Astyanax mexicanus: one gene and its partner. The protein of the gene in region 1 interacts with the protein of each later gene in a pairwise test. Links are inferred from orthologs where the notes say so. Each region holds a gene or a part of one and is shown in the gene's direction. Other genes may lie near its edges.

Region 1 (7,907 bases):
TATTTTGAAGATTTGAAGAGTATTGGAAAGTTTCATATTAACTATAAAAGCATTCAATCAGTAATGGTGAGTTTCCTTTAACTAGAACAGTGTTCTTCTATCCTGGCCCTGCCACCCAGGCCCAGGGGCGTAGCAGCAAATTCTGGGCCCTGTACACTCGCAATGTCAGTGGGCCTCTATCAAGTACATGAAGAACGTGAGCAAAAAAGCGGTATTTATCTAAAATAAAAAGCATTAATAAAGTTTTAAGCTACAATCTCTGGCAAAAATATATGGCAAAAATCATTATCACAATTATTTTTGATTAATATTGAGATCACAGTTATTTAACATGATTATTCATTGGCTTTGGTAACATCATGAATTTATTGAGCGTTGATAATAGCTTTTAAGCACTGCACTGCAATGCTAAGGCTTTTTACCAGACAAAAATAATCAGTTGCTTTATTGTTTAATATATTACTAGTGTGTACTCGCACCTACAGAGATATTGGTAGGCTATTTACATGTTGATATATGCAGCAGAAATATTGCTAGGTGGATCATTTATTAAGTCTAAGCACTGTTTCTCTTTCAGCTCTGCTGTGTTAGTAGACAATAGGCTATAGCACACGCACTGAACCAAAATAATAACTTACTTATAACTTAAAATAAATCTCTCTCTCTCTCTTGAACCAACATACCAACGTAAGGGGGAGTTTCTAAGACCGGTTAATGTCGATATCTAACCTTACGCGGCTCATAATTACCTTTATTCTTACAGCAGCAGCCGCCTGGTTGGTAACTTGCTAAGCTAACGGCTTCACGTGAGCCTACAGACATCAGCAGCAGCTGTGTGGAGAGGACTACATTAACTTTAATTACACTTAGCATAACAAGCAAACTCTGTTCACCTTTGGGAAAGAAAGCCGTCAATAGCTGCCTCCCCTCACTCTGCCTTCTTTCTTTCTTCTTCTGATAACCTGATTTCTGTTTTAGGGGCAGCATGAAGTCTCTAGCCCCCCAGGTCATTTAATCTGGGCTCACTGACGGTACACCTGTAGCCGGGTCGCTGTCGGGCGGACCAAACCATCTTGCGCCTCCAGGAGGGGGCTCCCAGAATGTCCCATATGTTGAGAGGACTGTAACTAAAGTTAATTCTCTCAGTAGATGTTATCAATAATTTTTGATAGATTAATTAATAAATAGTTAATTAGAGGGCCCAATTCAATAATAAAAATACCACTTAAAAATAAATGAATAAATCAGGATTTTTATGGGCCCCTCTCCCTACTTGGGCCCTGGGTAGTCAGGTCCATTTTTCCCCCCACTACCACGCCCATGCCCAGGCCCAACACATTTTAGAGGATTGCCTGTTTTAACACACCCACTATAGGTCTAATAGGACTAGGTGATGAGTTGATTAGTTAAATCAGGTGTGTTGGGAGCAGGAGAAGCCATAAACATGCAGGGCAGGGAGACACCAGTACCAGGATTGAACAACCATCAACTAGAGTTCACTAATGCCAGTGTTGCAGACTACTTCAAACATATTTTTTTTTTTTTTACCTCTGATTAATTCTAGTACCTGTATTACAGCAACTATATAGGACCAGAGCTACAAAGAAACACAGTGGGCATATACAACTCCACACTATACACTACACCTACTCATTTATACACTTCTACAGATCACCTATGTGATGCAGCCCTCTACTGATCAACAGCAGTAAATGCAGCTACAGACCTGCAGCTTCCTGATCAGAGTGAACCGGTTCCTATACCACACTGGACTAAATCCAAGACTGCCATCTGCTATTTCCATAATAACACACTGCATGAGCAAGTAATGCATAAAAACAGCATTAAGTGTATAATGAACAACACTACAAGCAAAAGAGTCTAAAATAAGCAATCCTGGATAATAAAAACTCCAGCATCCCATCTGGAACTCACAGTGCCCTCCATAATTATTGGCACCACTGGTTAAGATGTGTTCTTTAGCTTTCTCTTTCTTCATCGTGGTCCTATATTATTGATTTTTTTCTAAATAATATAGGACCATGATGAAAAAAAAGAGTAAGCTAAAGAACACATCTTAACCAGGGGTGCCAATAATTATGGAGGGCACTGTAATCAGCATCATATCACGGTTAAATCAAAATAGCATTATGTTTCGATCAATGTGTTACTGTTCAACATAATAACAGTAATAAACTACAAATTATGTTCCCTTTTTATTCAACATTGTATGATTCTACAAAGGTTTAGTAAATATGAATAAAATATTAATAAATATTTATTGTGACATTGTTTTTGCATGCCAGATATTTTATATGTATTAAAAGAAGCACACAGTGTGCAGAATAAAGCTAATGTACTGTTATTATTCTTAAAACTGTGCAGATACTGTATGTGTGACTGCCCAAGTGAAAAGGTAGACTCAAGTATACTCAACTTATGCTATATTATGCTACAGTGTGCTAATGATTAAGAGTGCTAAAATGAACTACTTTCATTTACCAAAAAATACAAAAGCTTTTATTGTACTAAATTGAACTATTTACATATATTTAGGTAGACTTTAAACATATTACTGTATATATATTTAAATAAAGAAATAATAGACATATATTAAAACAAGACATCAAATATTCATATTTACATCCCTACACCAACACATATCATCAACTTGTTTGCCAGTTGGTATGATTTTCTGACTTTGTTGTTCTTATAAGGTGATGAAGTGTGAGGTGAGCTTTTCTGTTCTTCTTGGTTAGCAGTGCCTTTAATATTTTGCACCTCTTTACCGGGGACCAATTTTTCTCAGTCTCTTTCTAATAGTGGAATCACAAACACTGGCCTTATCTGAGGCATTCAAGGCCTGTGAGATATACTTAGAAGTTTGTCTGGGATATTCTGAGGCTTCCGGGATAGGTCCTTACTGCACTATTGGGGGAATTTTGGTAGTCCAGCCACTTCTGGGAAGATTCACCACTGCAACAGATTTTCCCCCCTTGAAATGAATGGCTCACACTGTGGTTTGCTGAAGCCCCAGAGTCTTAGAAATGGCTTTGTAACCATTCCACATTGATAGAAATGTTCTTCCAGAATGTATTAGTAATAATGTGCAGCTTGTTGAGGCCTTTTATTTTACATAACTGGAAAATAGAAACCAAAACTAAGTTATGATTTAATGCAAATAGGCTCTAGTAATAAAGCATTAATGTTTCTAGTTTAATTATTCTTAGCAATTAATGTTTAATCAAACGCAATTAATTGAATTTTGTTTCAAAATTCTTACCATCACTAAGTCATTTAAAACTATCAAACAAATGATCCATTTCTGTAATACTAAAGGTCTTAATTTTGACTTTGTATAGATTAACTAATTTACCTAATTTTGCATTTACTCATTGTTTTTGTCTTTTAAATGTCAGGGCTCTCGAAATTATACCAATAAAATGTGAGCTACTTTGAGCTTGTTAATGCCTTCTCCAGCACATCTCAAAGATTCTCAATGGGGTTAAGGTCTGGACTCTGTGGTGAACAATGCATGTGTAAAAATGATCTCATGCTCCCTGAATCACTCTTTCACAATTCCAGCCCCATGAACCCTGCCATTGTCATCTTGGTATAACCTGTGCCATCAGGGAAGAAAAAAATCCACTGATGAATTAACCTGGTCTATATTCAGTATATTTAGGTAGTCAGCTGACCTCATTCTTTCAGCACATACTGTTGCTGAACCTAGACCTGATCAACTGCAGCCACACCAGATCATTTACATAAATTAAGTTAAATCCAGGGTAAGACTGGCCAGGCAGTGTAGTTAGCTCTAATATTCAATGGGACTCTGAGTGGTCTAGCGGGCTAAGCGCTGCCACTATGATCAGGAGATTGCTGGTTCGAAGCCTGTTCATGTAGCTTGCCATCGGCTACTGGAGGGTGATGGCGCTCAGCACAAGGCGTCTGTGAGCTGATGTATTGGAACCGAGTCGCTGCACTTTCCTCCGAGCGCACTGTGATGCTACTTGGCTATGCTGCATCAACAGCAGTTTAAAAAGAGGCAATGGCTGACTTCACTTGTGTGGCATGTGGAGGCATGTGCTAGTCTTCACCCACCTGGTGTTTACTAGTGATAGGGGTAGTCCTAATGAGTGGGCTGTGAAAATTGGATAAAAATTAGATATGAAATTATTTAAAAAAGCTCTGATACTTAATGTTTTATATTCTCTTGGTTGTTTGTCTTACAAGCAGATTGTTTAGATTGTGCTACTTTGTGTTGTATAAGGCGCTTTATAAATAAAGTTTATTTAAAGTCCTATGTTTATTAAAATTGTCTGTCTTGTAAAACTCTTGTAAAAAGCTTCTCACTAAATTTCTCTTTAATTTAAAAGGCTCAGTTGAACCTGTGGGGGGTGATATACACCCACAGACCAGCCTCACTGCTCTCTAAATGAAACTCTGAGAGTTGGATTGATGTAAAGTTTACTGGACAGCATTGAGGGCGTTTCTGAAAGTACATTTACTAGTTACATCGTTCGCCATCTCTGTGGATATGAGATAATTAGTAAAAAAAATACATTTTTTATTGACTTTAGTGTCTGTAGTGTTTCAGTTGGTCACACCCTTTACCGCTCTCTCCCAGTCGATCTATCAGCTACAGTCCGCCATGTTGGTCGGAGTGGGTGTCACTCTTTTACGGATTTCAGAGCTGCTGCTGCCGCCCGCCCGCCTGCCAGCCCTTTACATAAACACTAACACTGCCTTAGCGAGCGGAATAACTCAGTAAAGTTGTGCAAATCTCAGTCAATAACCGATTTTTCCTTTTATACCGGGCCGGTGCGCATGCCGGGCGTTATTCCCGGACGAACACGGAGTCCTGAAGCAACACAGCGAAAGGCTTGGTAAGTTACTGTTTTGTTTTCCAGCTGGTTCCTTGTGCTCCCAACTGCTGCCTGCTCACAAAACCAAATCACACCAGGTTTGAGGCTCTTTAAACCTTTAAAAGGGTTCTCATTCTCACATTATGGAATGAAACATGTTGTTTTCTGGTTATGTTCAAAAAAACATTTGTAGCAGCTTTGTTTAAGCTAGCGAAGAGTGCTGAAAGAGCTAAGTTTAGAGTTTTATACAAAGCAGATCTAGCGTAAGCTAGCACTGCATCTAGTTTGGGATTCTTCAGACCTTTAAAATTGCTTTTATTATCTAGCTGGCTGCTATTAACCACTTAGTTAACCTATTTCATGGAACAAGAAGTTGTTGTTTTGTGTCATTAGCTAAAGAACCATTTGTAGCACCTTTGTTTTTGGGAGTGCTAGCTTAGCTAACTAATTTAGCTAGGTTAAATGAGTTTAAATGGATAGAAAATATTAACGTTACCTCAATCTTTGAGGTTCATCACACCTTTAAGAGTTTCTTTTAATAGCTAACTATAAAGTAACCTCGTCTACAAACATGGTAGTTCTCTAGCTAGGTTAACTAGTTTATTTTTGAAAAATAAGTATTTCTCTGTTGCATTATTTAAAGAGCACCTTTATTTTAAAGTGTGCAGTTTAGCTACTAGTGCTACACATTTTGTCTGGTAATATATTAAAAATAGCTAACAGTCTATTGATCTGTTGGAAAATATTCTGTAAAACATATAACTAACTACAAATGACTGCCGACTCACTCCCAGTTCGGAGACATCTCCACCAAGCACCAGCCAGCCAGCGTTAGCTTGCTGGTTTAGCTAGCTAGCCTAGCTGTGAACTTGCTTAACTCGTTTTAAAAGGCGCAGATAAGTAATTAGACAGCTAGTTAGCTAGCTGATATTTAGCTAGATATATAGATTATTTATTTATTTATTTAACTCGTTAGTTGCTTATTTAACTAGTTAGTTAAATGAAATAGCTTGTAGGTTTAAATCTGGCAGTAAAAGAACTACAATTAACTAACTAGCTAGCTTAAGTAACACAGCTGACTAGCTAAGCTATGTTGGCTAACTGAATCGACGCTATTTATACAGATATGAATATAAATAGCCATTAGCTAATTAACGTTTTCTCCTCTGTTTTATGAATTAGTTAAAATGTCAAATATTCTTAAAGATTAAAGAAAATTCACATGTAGTTCCTTTTTATCTTAAAATTCCGATAATACAGCAACTACTGTTAGCTGGCTAGCGTTAGCGGTTTAGCCGCTTCGAGAACTTCTCGTGCTGGCTAAAGTGTAAGCTTAGCTTAGCTAGCTTCATACTTGTTTATTTGCTAGCCAACGAATAGCTATGAACTTTGCTTAGCTAAATTAGTTATCTAAATGTTTTGAATAAAATATTTCTTTAAAATAAATATTTACTCATTTTACTATTAGCCTGTAAACTGTTGTAAACTGTTGTGCTGGCTTAGCTTAATATAACAAAGCTAGCTTTAGCTAAGGTAGTTAGCCTGCTACTTAAGCTAAGGGTGTTAACTAGTTACCTTTTAGATTTTATAGTAATTTAAAATGCAATGGGTAGCGATTTAATTTGAACGGTGAATGTTTGCCAACTTTACTAAATCGTCAGATTAGTTTTTTGGTGAGTTTAATAACTTTTTAATGTGACTTTTATCCAGACATGTAGACAGCTAGCTAGGTTAGCAAGCTATGCTGCATTGGATGTTAGCTACGTAGTGATGAGTGAGCTGTTTTCTTAGTGCTGTGGCTGGACCAGTTGCTTATCTTTATCTATTATTAATGTATTAGCTAATATAACTACAATATTACATATTACATATGTTTTATGTTTATTAACTTAAATATTATCTTTTTAGAACTTTGTGCAGGCAGACCTGCTCATTAAATCAGCTTTAACTTGTTTTTGTTCAGTTAGTAGCGTTTTAGTGGGTAGGGTTGGGTGATAATGTCTAGAATTTACATAACAGTACTTCTTATTTCAGTTAATTTGATATAATTATGCTATCAATTAAACACGTGCAGTATAAAATCTACAGAAAAAAAACTTCCAAGGACCACAACAGACGTCTGAAAACTGAATTTGCCAATTCATGCAATGCATCCCATAATAAACATTAGCCAGCGACAGATACTGTAAGTAACATATTTTTGAAATGTTGAAATTTATTATTGAGACATTTTTGTATTGTGATTTATTGATATTAAGTTATTGTCCAGCCCTAGTTTTATTACTAGCTTAGTGAAACACAGTGGCATTAGGACGCTATTCTCAATTATTGCCAAGTTATTTACACTAAAGTGCATTAAAGTGGTTTTGTTGTGAATTTGCCTGGCCTGTCTACATGTCACTAGGTGGACACACCCATGTATGAAGGATATTTTTCTGTTGCGTGACCATTGATTTGTGACACATGCTTGTTCAACTCGATCCCATCCCTCGCTGGCTCGCATTGTTTTACATGACATACAGGGTCTTGGGGAAGACAATCGGGTAAGAGGTGCTTTTGTGATGCAGAGGGAGATTAACTGTGGATACTGAAACCACAGTTATTTGAAAAAGGGGGGACACTTTTCTGTCCTTTTTGTAAACATTTTTATCCTATAGACATTTGGTGGTCATCTGTATCAGCTGTGGTAAGAGCTACCTGTAGATCCTGTGATGACATTTTCAGATTGTTGGAGATATCTTGTTATTCCAGCTTGTTGGTGCATTCCAGTACATTGTTTTAACTTTGAACATGAATAAATTCTGATCTCTGGAAACAAATGAAATGCAGCATTATTTAAAGCACAGACATTTAGTTTAGTTTGTTTACCTTGTTCTTGTTTGGTAAAGGGAGTAAATCATTATAGCAAGATCAAAAGATGACTGAAAACAACTAGATATCAGTAATTTAGGTGTCTGCTAAATTATTTACATATGAAACAACTGCCAAAATGACCAGACCATGATGTCCCTACAAGATCAGCCCAAGAGATACATGAAA
Region 2 (7,697 bases), on another chromosome or scaffold:
CAGCCCAGCTCTCTACACACCACTGCAGCATCACTCATATCCCAGTCATCACCACACACTGTTCCCCACTGCCCTCTATGAAGAACCTCCACTCTCCCAGCACAGCGACTGCCACCATCCACCAACCTCACACTGCCTGTACAACAGACAAGGAATAAAGAAAGAAAGAAGCGAATAAAAAAAAGAAATAATAATAGGTATATGCTTCTTCAGCGTCGCAAGGTTATTTAACATAATTCTTAACAGATTTCGCTAATTCAAACAGCCCGAAAATGTTTTAAATAGCTCAATTTTAACGCTCTAATTACTAAAAAATGGCTCGGGTTCAGAAGGACAGTTTATGGCTCAGGTCGGGTCTGGCTCAAGCAGAAAGTGCATGGATTTGGGCCGGGTCGGGCTGGATTTTTGGGCCCGATCTAAGCTCTACCGCTCCACACACTGCAGGCGTTTTGCACTGCGGTCAAGCCAGCCCCCACTTCAAAACGCTTGGTCAAACTAGCCCCCACGCTGTTTCTTAGAGCGCGCATACACTGAACATTGCGGCAAGCGTGAGAAGGAACACATTTCAAAATAAAAGTCCCCCCCTTAATATCACGACATTATGCTGTGGAGTGGTATTAAAAGGAATCCACATAATATCACATGTTATGTCTGATATCACATGTCAATTTCATGTAGTCCTGGTAGTACACAAAATAAAAGCCCTGTAAATTATAACAATTATGTTAATTAAATAATACTAATACTAATAATAATAATACTAACAATACTACTACTAATAATAATAATACTTGTATGTGTCACTCACTTAATAGCAGGGCATTATAATGTGTCATTTCAAAATAAAGGCCATTTAAATTGTAACATTTATGTAATTTTACACAATGTTTAGACTGTTATTAAAAGAAATCTGTCTGATATCACAGCTCAATTTCATATAGTCCTGATAGTACACTCCTTGTATGTTTCACTCACTTAATATCAGAAGATTTTGATGTGTCATTTCAAAATAAAGGCCCTTTAAATTATAACATTTATGTAATTTTACACAATATTTAGACTGTTCTTAAAATAAATCTGTCTGATATCACAGTTCAATTTCATATAGTCCTGATAGTACACTACTTGTATGTGTCACTCACTTAATAACAGAACATTTTGATGTGTCATTTCAAAATAAAGGCCCTTTAAATTGTAACATTTATGTAATTTTACACAATATTTAGACTGTTATTAAAAGAAATCTGTCTGATATCACAGTTCAATTTTATATAGTCCTGATAGTACACTACTTGTATGTTTAACTCAATTACTATCAGAACATTTTGATGTGTCATTTTAAAATAAAAGCCCTTTAAATTGTAACATTTATGTAATTTTACACAATGTTTAGACTGTTATTAAAAGAAATCTGTCTGATATCACAGTTCAATTCCATATAGTCCTGATAGAACACTACTTGTATGTTTCACTCACTTAAAATCAGAACATTTTGATGTGTCATTTCAAAATAAGGGCCATTTAAATTGTAACATTTATGTAATTTTACACAATGTTTAGACTGTTATTAAAAGAAATCTGTCTGATATCACAGTTCAATTTCATATAGTCCTGATAGTACACTACTTATATGTTTCACTCACTTAAAATCAGAACATTTTGATGTGTCATTTCAAAATAAGGGCCATTTAAATTGTAACATTTATGTAATTTTACACAATGTTTAGACTGTTATTAAAAGAAATTTGTCTGATATCACAGGTCAATTTCAGATAGTCCTGATAGTACACTACTTGTATGTTTCACTCAATTACTATCAGAACATTTTGATGTGTCATTTTTAAATAAAGGCCCTTTAAATTATAACATTTATGTAATTTTACACAATATTTAGACTGTTCTTAAAATAAATCTGTCTGATATCACAGTTCAATTTCATATAGTCCTGATAGTACACTACTTGTATGTGTCACTCACTTAATAACAGAACATTTTGATGTGTCATTTCAAAATAAAGGCCCTTTAAATTGTAACATTTATGTAATTTTATACAATGTTTAGACTGTTATTAAAAGAAGTCTGTCTGATATCACAGTTCAATTTCATATAGTCCTGATAGTACACTACTTGTATGTTTCACTCAATTACTATCAGAACATTTTGATGTGTCATCTTAAAATAAAAGCCCTTTAAATTGTAACATTTATGTAATTTTACACAATGTTTAGACTGTTATTAAAAGAAATCTGTCTGATATCACAGTTCAATTTCATATAGTCCTGATAGTACACTACTTGTATGTTTCACTCACTTAAAATCAGAACATTTTGATGTGTCATTTCAAAACAAAGGCCCTTTAAATTATAACAATATTTTATTTCAACACAATGTTTAGACTGTTATTAAAAGAAATCTGTCTGATATCACAGGTCAATATCATATAGTCCTGATAGTACACTACTTGTATGTGTCACTCACTTAATAACATAACATTTTGATGTGTCATTTCAAAATAAAGGCCTTTTAAATTATAACAATATTTTTATTTTAACACAAGTTTTGACTGTTATTAAAATGAATCTGTGTGATATCACAGGTCAATTTCATATTTCATTTCATAATTTAAAGGGCCTTTATTTTGAAATGACATATCAAAATGTTCTGATATTAAGTGAGTGAAACATACAAGTAGTGTACTATCAGGACTATATGAAATTGAACTGTGATATCAGACAGATTTCTTTTAATAACAGTCTAAACATTGTGTAAAATTACATAAATGTTACAATTTAAAGGGCCTTTATTTTGAAATGACACATCAAAATGTTCTGTTATTAAGTGAGTGACACATTCAAGTAGTGTACTATCAGGACTATATGAAATTGAACTGTGATATCAGACAGATTTATTTTAAGAACAGTCTAAATATTGTGTAAAATTACATAAATGTTATAATTTAAAGGGCCTTTATTTTGAAATGACACATCAAAATGTTCTGATATTAAGTGAGTGAAACATACAAGTAGTGTACTATCAGGACTATATGAAATTGAACTGTGATATCAGACAGATTTCTTTTAATAACAGTCTAAACATTGTGTAAAATTACATAAATGTTACAATTTAAATGGCCCTTATTTTGAAATGACACATCAAAATGTTCTGATTTTAAGTGAGTGAAACATACAAGTAGTGTACTATCAGGACTATATGAAATTGAACTGTGATATCAGACAGATTTCTTTTAATAACAGTCTAAACATTGTGTAAAATTACATATGTTACAATTTAAAGGGCTTTTATTTTAAAATGACACATCAAAATGTTCTGATAGTAATTGAGTGAAACATACAAGTAGTGTACTATCAGGACTATATGAAATTGAACTGTGATATCAGACAGATTTCTTTTAATAACAGTCTAAACATTGTGTAAAATTACATAAATGTTACAATTTAAAGGGCCTTTATTTTGAAATGACACATCAAAATGTTCTGTTATTAAGTGAGTGACACATACAAGTAGTGTACTATCAGGACTATATGAAATTGAACTGTGATATCAGACAGATTTATTTTAAGAACAGTCTAAATATTGTGTAAAATTACATAAATGTTATAATTTAAAGGGCCTTTATTTTGAAATGACATATCAAAATCTTCTGATATTAAGTGAGTGAAACATACAAGTAGTGTACTATCAGGACTATATGAAATTGACCCGTGATATCAGACAGATTTATTTTAATAACAGTCTAAACATTGTGTAAAATTACATAAATGTTACAATTTAAATGGCCCTTATTTTGAAATGACACATCAAAATGTTCTGATTTTAAGTGAGTGAAACATACAAGTGGTGTACTATCAGGGCTATATAAAATTGAGCTGTGATATCAGACAGATTCCTTTTAATAACAGTCTAAACATTGTGTAAAATTACATAAATGTTAAAATTTAAAGGGCCTTTATTTTGAAATGACACATTATAATGCCCTGCTATTAAGTGAGTGACACATACAAGTATTATTATTAGTAGTAGTAGTATTGTTAGTATTATTATTATTAGTATTATTATTATTTAATTAACATAATTGTTATAATTTACAGGGCTTTTATTTTGTGTACTACCAGGACTACATGAAATTGACATGTGATATCAGACATAACATGTGATATTATGTGGATTCCTTTTAATACCACTCCACAGCATAATGTCGTGATATTAAGGGGGGGACTTTTATTTTGAAATGTGTTCCTTCTCACACTTCTTAACACTTTATTACTAAATTATTTCATTTTAAAACGACTTTATGGTGTGTCCAGATTTTTGACTTGTACTCTATAATTTATATATTTTTTTATATTAAGGTGTGTGTTGCTGTTTTATAACTATAATATTCAACAATATGACTTTATATATTAAAAAACACAGCTCCACTGTTAAATAGATAATCCAATCCGATCAGAATCGATTCAGAAAGATTCGGAACCTTCAGGAAAGTTCCGTGTCCTTTAAAGACGCGCGCTGCGTCAGGGAGGGGCGGTACTCCGCGGGACGGTGCGGGCTGCGGGAGCTGCAGGTGCGGTTATCTCTAATCACCAGTATCGGAAACTGATCGATCAGATCCACCGATCAGCAGCAGAGAGATCTCCAACAGCGCGTGAATGAGAAGAACCCAGAATGACCCTGAATCAGAACCATTCCGAGTCCGGGGGAGTCATCATCAACAACAGCGAGAGGTACCGGTGTTCTGTCTGATTCTGCTACCTTGTTAAACCGTGTTCCCCTAGTGTATATTTACCTGTAAAAATACAAGAGAAGCACCATATTACAGCATGTTAAAAGCAGGAGTCCCAGTAGATGTAGTTACTATATTTGAAAAGCATAAATTACTGTGTCGTGGTAAAGTTCACTACTAACGTGTTTTTGTTTGTTTATAATTATATTAATACCATAATACAATAATAATTATTGCATTCAAATTTTATAATTTCCATTTACGCTTTTGTGCAATAACAGTGAGTCCAGGTTGTTTAATGCATTGAAAAACACGAGAAATAATCTAAAAGTATAGGTCAGCGCATGCGCAGTGCCTTTAGGAAGCACGTATCGACGGGTAGAATACCTCGACAAAACACCGGCCTTCGCGCTCACTCACAGCTCTCCTCTCCACCTTAAACACCAGCAGCCTCCGCGCGCTCACTCACAACTCTCCGTTCCACCAGCAGCCTCCGCGCGCTCACTCACAACTCTCCGTTCCACCTTAAACACCAGCAGCCTCCGCGCGCTCACTCACAACTCTCCGTTCCATCTTAAACACCGGCCTCCGCGCGCTCACTCACAGCACTCCGCACTCCTCCACAAATGACTTCGCTGTGAGGGGCTGGTATGATCAGCTGCACCGTTTAAGGTGGAACGGAGAGTTCGAAGATGATTATATTTAATCGTTGGTGTGACGGAGGATATTTGACACAGATTAAAAGCTCCAGTAAATGTTTACCTTCCGTCTGCACATCAACATTTATTAAAACAAACTTATTTAAACACTTTAAATAAACAAACAGCTAAAAAACGAGAGTAGATAGGCAGTGTCCACACAGCTACAGTTACCTGAGCTAAATAAAGATAATTCTAGGCCCTGTATAGACAATGCGTTCCATTAATTTAAACTTTTAGTTCTATTAATTTTGTTTTGTTCTATATATATATATATATATATATATATATATATATATATATATATATATATATATATATATATATATATATATATACTGCAAATAGAAAAAATGTGTTTATATATAACTTACTGCAAATAGAAAAAAATGTGTGTATGTATTTCTGTATATAAACTTCATTTCTACCTTTTCAAGATACATTCTGATAAATCATGTCATGTAGGATGAAACAGCCAAAATTTGAGTTAATTCTGTTAACAATATGAACAAAAACGCCACAAAACCAAATCGCTGTAAGTAATGTATAATAACATATCTCTATTAAAACATTTTCTATTGTGATATATAAATATTTATTTACCACATCAGTCATATGCAAAATTAAAAAGCCTGTTAGCAGTATGTGAAACACTGGTATTAGAATAAATACAAATAACATTCAGACAAACAGAAAGAGAGAGATGCCCATTCCCATCTTCACTGGGTCACAGAGTCACTAAGCTTCTTAAGTCTTCAGTGATGTAAGACTGTAAGACTGTGGACATTTACACAGTTCTTTGTGACTTTGTAGGTCTAATTTTAGATTTGCTCAGTGTGTTTTATCTTCTTGTCTTCATTTATTAAGTGTAAATCTGCTCTGTTGTGTAAAACAATCTCGCTCTACCAGCAGAGTAAAACACCACTGTTCTCCTTCACAGTGTTCTGATGTCCTATGAAAACGTGGAGCTGTCGTTCAGTGATGCTGATCGTTTACCAGAGCTGTTCAAGAAGAGCAAGAAGGGGAGCATCTATCTCACTCCGTACAGGGTGAGTCTGAAAAGAGATAAAAGATATTCTTTAACTAATCAGATGTCAGTTACCAGAGAACACTGAGACAAAGTCCAGTACCCGGTTGCATAAACACCATACGATTTTCACTTAAGTATAAAAAAATGGACAAAAGGGAATTACTTAAGTGTGTTACACAAAAACCCTCAGATATTTAATTAACTAGGAGTAAATAGATTTACTGCAGTGACTAATGTTTTACTGTGGTAAGTTCCACTTTAATCACAACAATGACTTATCAGCGATAATGAATGTTAACTTTGTGATTTTGGTGCTTTTAAAACCTCTTCAATGAATTATTCAACACCCCCCCCCCCCCGCTCACTCTTTCAGACGTGAACATGAAAACAATGATTTTTGCAATTGAGTTTACGCGTATATTATTCACATTTCTCATGGCTTGGGGTTGCTTTGCTACAGAGGATGGTCTGGCAAGCTTATCATAGGTGAATATGAATTATTTATTGTATCAGAGGTGGTTTGAAGAAAAATGTAAGACCATCCACACAAACTGTAGATAAAGCATCACATCGCTGAAAGAATTCTGCATAGAGGAGTGGGAGTCTGAATAGGTCTGTCCTGGGTAAATAAATTAGGTGAAAGTGTTTGCAGTCAGTAGTCTAATTATAATATTTTATTTTATTCCTTTAAATAGCTTCTCCAGAGCCTTTACAAAAGTTGTGCGGTCTGTTCTTCTATCAGGTAATCTTCGTGACAAAGGGGAAGGATGCTCTTCAGTCCTTCATGATGCCATTCTATCTAATGAAGGGCTGTGAAGTCAAACAGCCTGTTCTTGGAGCCAACTACATAAAGGGTGCGGTGAACGCTGAACCAGGGGGTAAGAACTTACTAAATCTGATTGGAGCATTAAGGTCATCAATAAGCTCTTCAGTGAATTGGATCAGCTTAAACTGGGGAGAAAATTGGTAAAAATGGAAAAAAATTAAATAGTGATGTCAGCTGATGTAGTCCTAGAGTTTAAGAAAACAACATTTACATGTTTCAGTAAAATGTAAAATGCAGTTGTGAATTCAGAATATGTCATTTGTAATTTTTCTTTTTGCCATTGCTTACTTAGTAGAATTGTTGGAGCACACATTTATAAGGCCATTATTAAAATGTTTGTGTGTTATTTTGAGCCATGTGCTGTACAAAAAAAAAAAATTATCCCTAAAGGGGTCTATGCCC

The links. The genes of interacting proteins can lie anywhere in the genome.
Region 2: the proteins of epn2 (region 1) and wbp2 interact in binary tests that used the Homo sapiens proteins (3 or more experiments, as listed by UniProt). The link is inferred for Astyanax mexicanus from reciprocal best matches to the Homo sapiens genes EPN2 and WBP2.

What each region holds. Positions count from the first base shown.
Region 1 is NC_064410.1:53,700,218-53,708,124, forward strand, and holds the start of epn2 (epsin-2), read left to right. Parts: upstream 1-4,603; 5' UTR 4,604-4,889; intron 4,890-4,903; exon of another isoform or gene 4,904-4,966; intron 4,967-6,952; exon of another isoform or gene 6,953-7,053; intron 7,054-7,907. UniProt on the Homo sapiens protein: Plays a role in the formation of clathrin-coated invaginations and endocytosis.
Region 2 is NC_064422.1:14,045,815-14,053,511, forward strand, and holds the start of wbp2 (WW domain-binding protein 2), read left to right. Parts: upstream 1-4,513; 5' UTR 4,514-4,683; coding exon 4,684-4,742; intron 4,743-6,379; coding exon 6,380-6,488; intron 6,489-7,211; coding exon 7,212-7,347; intron 7,348-7,697. UniProt on the Homo sapiens protein: Acts as a transcriptional coactivator of estrogen and progesterone receptors (ESR1 and PGR) upon hormone activation. In presence of estrogen, binds to ESR1-responsive promoters. Synergizes with YAP1 to enhance PGR activity.